Linked DNA regions of Callithrix jacchus. The protein of the gene in region 1 binds, or shares a complex with, the protein of each later gene. Links are inferred from orthologs where the notes say so. Each region holds a gene or a part of one and is shown on either strand. Other genes may lie near its edges.

The links.
Region 2: the proteins of ZC3HAV1 (region 1) and KHNYN are in contact, whole or in part, in a crystal structure (PDB 9BGL), measured with the Homo sapiens proteins. The link is inferred for Callithrix jacchus from reciprocal best matches to the Homo sapiens genes ZC3HAV1 and KHNYN. Residues at the interface, in NP_064504.2 of Homo sapiens: Glu5, Val6, Cys8, Phe9, Lys12, Ile13, Ala16, His17, Glu29, Ile30, Ala31, Leu32, Leu113, Glu115, Phe118, Ser127, Gly128, Leu129, Asn130, Glu133; in NP_001277186.1 of Homo sapiens: His651, Lys652, Asp654, Phe655, Gln658, Arg659, Pro661, Tyr662, Asn677, Phe678.

The regions. Positions count from the first base shown.
Region 1 is NC_133512.1:108,281,661-108,285,726, reverse strand, and holds part of ZC3HAV1 (zinc finger CCCH-type antiviral protein 1), read right to left. Parts: intron 3,731-4,066; coding exon 3,600-3,730; intron 3,240-3,599; coding exon 3,109-3,239; intron 1-3,108.
Region 2 is NC_133509.1:58,730,315-58,734,380, reverse strand, and holds part of KHNYN (protein KHNYN), read right to left. Parts: coding exon 3,944-4,066; intron 3,861-3,943; coding exon 3,764-3,860; intron 2,695-3,763; coding exon of another isoform or gene 2,634-2,694; exon of another isoform or gene 1,824-2,633; intron 785-1,823; coding exon 656-784; intron 465-655; coding exon 363-464; intron 1-362.

The DNA of each region.
Region 1 (4,066 bases):
TGGGATATCTTTCTCTTCTGGGTACCTCCTCTTGTGGATTAGGACACTGTGTTCTTTTTCAGTGAAGACCGTCTCTGCGTGGCAGGGGGAGCTCACGCAGGAGTTAATCCAACCATGAGCTCTGTGAGTCTGGTGGCACGTCTTGGGTGCTTTGTTCACCTGAATATGCTCAATGACCAGAGAATCTACAGCTCAACTCTTAAGTTCAGCATTACACTCTGCATTTTTAAGTGTGTACAGCAAAAATTCAACTCTTTGTCACCAAACATGTGCCCAGCCCTTCTGTATGGCCTAGACACTCCTACCAACTCCATCCTCATAACGTTGGAATGGTACACATTGTTTCTATACAGTGACAGCTTTCAGACACTTGCTGGCTTTTCATATATGCATACCCTTGATGGCCTGGGCAGTTTCATGGGTATTCTTAAAGTGAGCATGAAGATTTGAACTTCTTTATTTGCATGATTTCGTGTAGATTTCTGGGTCAAGTGAATAGCAAACCATTTCCACAGATCACCTCAGGCCACTTATGGGAACAGCTTGCTCATTTTTAAATCAGGTTATTTGTTCTCTTGCTGTTGAATTGTTTGAGTTCCTTATATATTTTGGATATTAACTCCTTATCAGATGTATGGCTTGCAAATGTTTTCTCCACTCTGTGGGTTTGTCCGCTCACGTTGTTCGTTGTTTCCTTTGTTGTGGAGAAGCGTTTTACTTTGACGCAATCTCATTTGTCCATTTTTGTTTTTGTTGCCAAGCATCAGTTGTTTTTATATCACACTTATATAATCTGGAATCTATATTTTCTTTTTTAAAATTCCCTTTATTGTGTTAAGAAAGTTAATTTCTACTCCTACATTTCTGAGTGCTTTCTTTTTTTCTTTTTTGAGACAGAGTCTTGCTCTATCACTGAGGCTGGAGCGCAGTGACAGGATCTCAGCTCACTGTAGCCTCCCCCTCTCAGGTTCAAGCAATTCTCACGCCTCAGCCTCCCGAGTAGCTGGGACTATAGGCATGTGCCTACACACATGGCTAATTTTTGTAATTTTAGTAGAGACAGGGCTTCTCCATGTTGGCCAGGATGGTCTTGAACTCCTGGCCTCAAGCAATCCACCCACCTTGGCCTCCCAAAGCACTGGGATTACAGGCGTGAGCCACCGTGCCCAGCCTGTATTTTCTTAAATGATCCAACCTGAAGACTCAACCTTGTAGCCCACTCTCCTAAGACCTGGACTCTGTCTTGTTGCACATATGCCTCTTAGGGAATAGATCCCTTGAACTGCAATATCCTTTTCCTCCTTTCTCCTCCACCACCTGGGTCAAAGCCACCCTAATTTTTGGTCTGGACTCTTTTTTCTTTTTTTGCTACAGAATCTCTCTCTGTTGACCAAGCTGGAGTGCAGTGGTGCGAGCTCAGCTCACTGCAACCTCTGCTCCTGGGTTCAAGCGATTCTCCTGCCTCAGACTCCCGAATAGCTGGGATTACAGGCAGCAGCCCCCACGCCTGGCTAATTTTTTATATTTTTAGTACAGATGGGGTTTCACCATGTTGGCCAGGCTGGTCTTGACCTCCTGACCTCAAGTGATCTACCTGCCTCAGCCTCCCAAAGGGCAGGATTACAGGTGTGAGCCACTGTGCCCAGCCTGGACCTGTTCTTTTCCTCTATAGTAGTCTGACATTTGCAATCATTTAATTTTTTTTTTTTTTTTTTGAAACAAAGTCTTGCTATATTGCTTAGGCTGGAGTGCAGTGGCACAATCAGGGATCACTGCAGCCTCAAACCTCTGCAATCCTCCTCTAGCAATCCTCCCACCTGAGCCCCCTGAGTAGCTGGGACTACAGGCATGTGCCACCATGCCCAGGTAATTTAATTACAAAAAAAATTTTTTTTGTCATTAAAACAAAAAATTAGACAGGGTCTCACCATGTTGCCTAAGCTGGTCTCCAACTCCTGGGCTCAAGTGATCCTCCCACCTCAGCCTCTCAAAGTACTGGAATTATAGGTGTAAGCTGCCATGCCTGGCCATAATCATTTAATTAATTATGTAAGATAATTATGCAAAATAATTTCTATGGGGCAATGTCTAACTTGTTCACCACTGTGTACCCCACATCTAGTGTACAGAAGACACAAAAATATTTGCTGACTGACTTCTTGACTTTTGGGGCAAGAATTGAATTTAATCCTAGTTGTATGAGTTGAACTCACTTTGAATCTGTGATAACCTATTACTTATTTCCTAAAGATAAGTAATTTTTAGGTTTGTTTGGTTTTAACAGTTGCATGCATGCAGGAGTGGTGGCTCATGCCTGGAATCCCAGCACTTTGGGAGGTGAGGTAGGTGGATTGCTTGAGCTCAGGAGATGAGACCAGCCTTGGCAACATGGTGAAACCCTGTCTTTACAAAAATACAAAAAAAAAAAAAAATTAGCTGGATGTGGTGGCACACACCTGCTGTCCCAGCTGTTTGGGGGACTGAGGTGGGAGGATCACTTGAGCCCAGGAGGTGGAAGCTGCAGTGAGCTGAGATTGTCACCCAACCTGGGTGACAAAGTAAGACACTGTCTCAAAAAAAAAAAAAATTGCAGGCAAGAGTTTAGGAGTAAAAAGAAAGAGCTATAAAGATTTTGTGTGTGGGGCAGACCTATGACACTACAGGTCCAGGTAACCCAGTGTGGCCTGAGATGGGGAGAATCCTCTTCTCCTCGTCTTTAATTAAAATCACTTTGTGACAATTGAAGCTTCAAATAGCTTCAGAGGCATGGACATGTGTTCAGGAAGAGCACGGCCAGAAGTGAGTAGTGATGGGAGACAACAAGGCCAACAGATGGAGTAACTGACGAGCATGTACAAGGACTTTGGTCACTCCCAGAATGAAAACAGAAGGCAGGAGTGAGACTAAGTTCCAGCACTCATGCTCCAAGTCAATGGAGCCACTCTCATTTGAGCATTTGAGATTACCACAAGCTTATTTTCTCTCCATGACCACTAAAGCCTGGACACTCTGGTTAATACAAAATAATTACATATACCTCCTCATAGAAGCGCATATAAAGCCCAAGTTATAACTCTACCAGTTACACTTTTCTATCCCGGCACAAACCTTTTCCATATGTGGTTGCATGAGTTTCATGTAGGGTCCAGTCAAAATTATTCGCACAGATAGAGTCCACATAGGCACGTTTTGTCGCATAAAATAGGAGGTTTTCTTCTACCTTCATCTGCAACTTCTTCCTAATTTAAGAAATGTGAGAGTTAACACCGAGACATCCCCTTCTCACTCCAGTTCATAACATGAATCCCAGCTAAAGTCTAATCATCTGAAAATTTCATCCCATCAGCTTTCACAATGGAGCTACTAACATAAGGCAGAAGCTGTACAATAATAAACTTATGAAAACTTTTAAAAGACAGACACATGAAATCAGTGAGGCTGAAAGAGAGAAGCCAGAGTTGATACAATGAAAAAAACAACTAGAGCCTGAAGGAACTGTTGACTACTAAAATAAATCAGTGAATATAAATCTTAAAGGATGGATATTAACTAATCCTTTCCAGTTTTATGTAAAGAAACATAATAACGTGGCCACCAACCGTGTAAAACAATCCAGGAGCTCTGGGTTCTGGATCTTCTTTATCTTTTCAATCTTGAAATTTTTCATGGAAGCTTTAAAATACTCACTTACTTTGACATATTCTGGATGTAGGTGATTGATCTCTGACACCTAAAAGAATTTAAAAATATATAAATGGGAAATAGGAAACGTTTAAAGCATGTTACATCCCCATATGTGGCCCCCTAGCCCATGAAGTATGGTTACCAGGGTTCTAACAGCAGGTAGGATGAGCTGGCTGAGGGTTCCCACATCTGGCAACTCACTGCTGTATTGAACCAGAGAGGAAGCAGGCCTGTCTGCCCAGGCCAGCTTAAAGCTATCAAAGCACTATCCCTAAGGGAAGTCCCCTACAGTCTGATTTAGTCAGTAACCTCTTCCCAATGTGATGCCCAGGCAGTCCAAACAGACCAGCCTGCACAAAAGCTGAAGCCAGCATGGGGAGGC
Region 2 (4,066 bases), on another chromosome or scaffold:
CTTTGGGAACCACGGTGAACTCTGCCACTATTATACGATCTAGTTCTGGTCCTAAATGAATTACTTACATAATGGTCAGCAGAAGGCATGCAGAATACAACTGGGTCTCAGTATAAGCAACCATTTTCCAAATAACTCCATAAAACACGCTGATTAAGGGAAACAGGAAGCAGGTGTTTCCCTCCCAGCAAGGAGGTTCTACGTCAGGATTCCTGGGAAGCTTATCATGGCCAAGGCCAAGGTAACTCAAACCACTGCAAAATTAAGCTGGCCAAAACTGAGGTCAGACTTCCACCCAAGCCTCCGGGCCTGCCAAGAGAGGGCCAGGGTGAAGCTGTCTGCAAGGAGTCTAGATTGATTACCTGGCTGGCTTCTTCAGAAATTCATCCAGGGTGGGGCCGTTTCGCCCCAGTGGGTCATCGGGTACCATGAAGAGGTTTCCCACAAAGGTAAAGGGCAGCAGGCTGGACGGTGAAAGAGAATATATGGTCATAGAGGGGGCTCTTGCCCACCTCCCAGACAACTGAAACCAGTATCACCAGAAACTGCTGGCTCCATCCTTCAAGAAAACTTCACCTCCTTCCCAGAGTTTTCACCCTGTGGCCAGAGCAGAACTAGCTTTAGAAAAAGGTCTGCATCTGTGTCCAATTCTCACCGTTCTCTGATGATTGCCATCCAGTTCTCGGACTCCTCTGCCAGATCCCGGAACTGATCATTGGAGACAATTATCCCATCTCTCTCTTCAGCCAGCCTCACCATGAACCTGTCTCCAAAACCACAGCAACTGAGAGAAGGTTGAAAATTTACCTATTGGGTACAATGTTCACTCTTGGGATAACAGTTACATTAAAAGCCCAGACTTCACCACTATGCATGTAGCAAAACTGTACTTGTATGCCCCCAAATATATAAAAATAAAAACAACCACAGCAACCCTTTGGGACACTCCAAGGCCCCAACCTCAAAAGTGTTACTAATTCCCATGAGCAACTTCTGGTGATGGAGCTCTGGCCCCATACCCCACCTTAGCCCAGCTACAGGCAACTGACTAGATACAGGTTTCATGGGCTACAGAAGAAACAGATGAATCCAATCTGCTCACCGCAGTCCTTCGCGCAACACTTTGCGTCTCACTAGTAAACAGTAAGATCTAGCTCTGACACTGTCTTCCACCCTACCCAACCAATCCCTCGCAAATCCAACATGTCCTACCTTTCAAAAGCCTTGTGCTCTGCTCCCTTCCTTCCCAGGCCCACCGTAACTACCCTAGTAATTCAGATATTGCAACTGAGATCACGCATAACCTCCTAACAAGGATTCCCCGCCTCTGACCACTCACCACCCTCCAGCCTCCCCTGCCCTGCCCCAAGAAAGCATGCTTATCCCCTACACAAAACTCTTCCACACTCACCCTTTATTTACCAAATAAAGTCCACACACCCAGGCCTGGCAGCTAAGGCCTTCTAGAGCCCAGATCAAATCACTCTTACAGCCTTATCTCCAAATATTCCCTATTGCAGTCTCAACTCCAGCTAAAATCAATCATCAGGTTACACTCTGCTCTTCAAATATGTCTAATGCTGACTTCCGGGTTTCTCCAACTATTCCCATCTGAAAGGCACTTCCAAAAACTGGCTGAGGAACAGAATCACCAGGGGAACTTTAAAAAACAGATGGGATGGACGCGGTGGCTCACGCCTGTAATCCTAGCACTTTGGGAGGCCAAGGAGGGCAGATCACGAGGTCAAGAGATTAAGACCATCCTGGCCAACATGGTGAAACGCCGTCTCTACTAAAAATACAAAAAAATTAGCCAGGTGTGGTGGTGCATGCCTGTAGTCCCAGCTACTCAGGAGGCTGAGGCAGGAGAATTGCTTGAACCCAGGAGGCAGAGACTGCAGTGAGCCGAGATCGTGCCATTGCACTTCAGCCTGGGTGACAAGACTCTGTCTCAAAAAAAAAAAAAAATAGATGCGGGCCCCACTTCAGTAATTCTGATTCTACAAGACAAGGTAGGACTCATGAGGTGGTGGGTGGTGTTCTTAACAGATTTAGAAACCAAGAGATCCAGCCCATCCCACAGTCTTCTCAATCAATACAAAAACTTACAAATCTCTCCTTTCCCACAAAACCCCAGCCAGAAGGGGGCTCCCTTCTCTCTGAGTTCCTGTAGTGTTTGATTTATAGTTTCTTACGGCTCTCTAAAGTCACTAATCAGATCTTGTTCCCAGTGTTCCCACCTCCTGCAGGCTATGCACTAGTACTAAGTGAGCAGTTAGTATTTGAAAGACAGCATGGTATAGGGGGAACTGGGAATCAGGATCAGGTGTGACAGATATCAGGCTCTGAGCTTCTGTCTGGGAAACAAATTAAGGAAATGACTTACAAATGTATATGGTACACTTATGGCATGCAAACGGTATTTTCTGGTTAAATATATTTTACTATGATCTCATTACAAAGTATGTTGTTCAGCAACATTTATTCACTATGCCTACGATGTGCACCACTGTGCTTATTCACTGTTGATGGGCGAATTCCCAATTTATATTATGTTATCTGCCCACCAGGTCCCACGCAACTGGGCAGACACATGCCTTTAACATTCATTAAAATGAACTCAATCTTCAGTTTCAATTCTGTTTCAATGCAGGTGTGGAAAGAAGGTTCCATATCTTGGGTAATCTGTGACATCTATACATAAGTAGAATAACATTGGGAGAAAGTAAACCATTTTGTAGAATTCCATTTACTTGTTAAGGAATACAAGGTACATGTTTGAAAAGACAAAGTATATAATCACTATGGTTTGGAAACTAATTTTTAAAATCTGAATAATGTCCTAGAGAATAAAAAACTTGTAAATATGTTAACTTGGTTAATTGGCTTTCTAAAATCTGTTCATTTCTCACATTACCTATGTAGACTATGGTAGAAGTGTGTCTTGTATTTTCATTCATATCATCTGACAGTTTTGAGGTCTAATTTCCCTTTGCTAAGAGAGGTAACCACTCTGACCCTCTGTCTCCATGACTATAGATTGGAGATACACCCGCTGCCACACTTGAGTACGTATGTGCTAAGTTAGGAGGGAATGTCACTGTAGTCTTGCTGAGCACACCTTGAGCAAGGCAGACACACACCTTATCTTTTTCATATATTCACAAGGAGGGTACATGAATGGAGGAGGACCCTGAGACAAAGAGGTTAATAATTCACTAAGACATGGGTCCACAGTCAAAGTCTATGAGGAGTGCTACTGAGGCTCAAATTTAGCTCTTCCAATTCTAAATCCAGTGATATTTCTATTATACCATGTTTTGTACAGTCCTATTATTCATGGGTTGTGTTTCTTCATTTTATTTGTTATTTTGACCTTTACTGTGTTTTTTCCAGAATGTTAAGGAAGTTTCTCTGCATGTTGAGAAATTCAGAAAGATGACATCTGTCAGCTATTTATGTCACGAGCTTCCCCATCTTTCCACTAAACCAGTATTTTCTAGACAGTGAAGCACTATATAAATGAGGTATCACTTTATTTGATGAATGATAAATGAGCAAACATGGTTGTCTACAGTTCTTCTCATCACAGCTGCTGGGCAGGTTTACCTAACCAATAATAAGGGACACAGAGGAATAACTAGCCCCTTACTCACTACCAAAGCTTGGAAACAGCATAAACCACCAGGAGCTTTTCCCTCTCCCTCAATCTTCAACTAGGCTCCTTGAATATCAAGCCTGGGGCCAGGAGAGGAGCAAGTACCTGTCATCATAGGAGGAGATCCTCTTGCCATCCATGACTCGTGAGGGTGTGAGGGAGAGCAGGCTGAGGGAATGCAGCTTTTGCAGGAAGTGACTCTCTATTAAAAAAGAACAAAATAGGGTTCTCCTCCAGGTAGAAATAGAGCCTACCCCAGGACACAGAAGACCAGGCCCAACTCACCTCTAACTTTGGCATCCTTACTGAAGCGCCACTGAGGCACGAAGACGGTTATGTCACGGTGGCCACGGTCCCAGAAGTACTGCACAGCAATGGCAATGCCCCGGCTGGAGAAGTAGTGCTGGA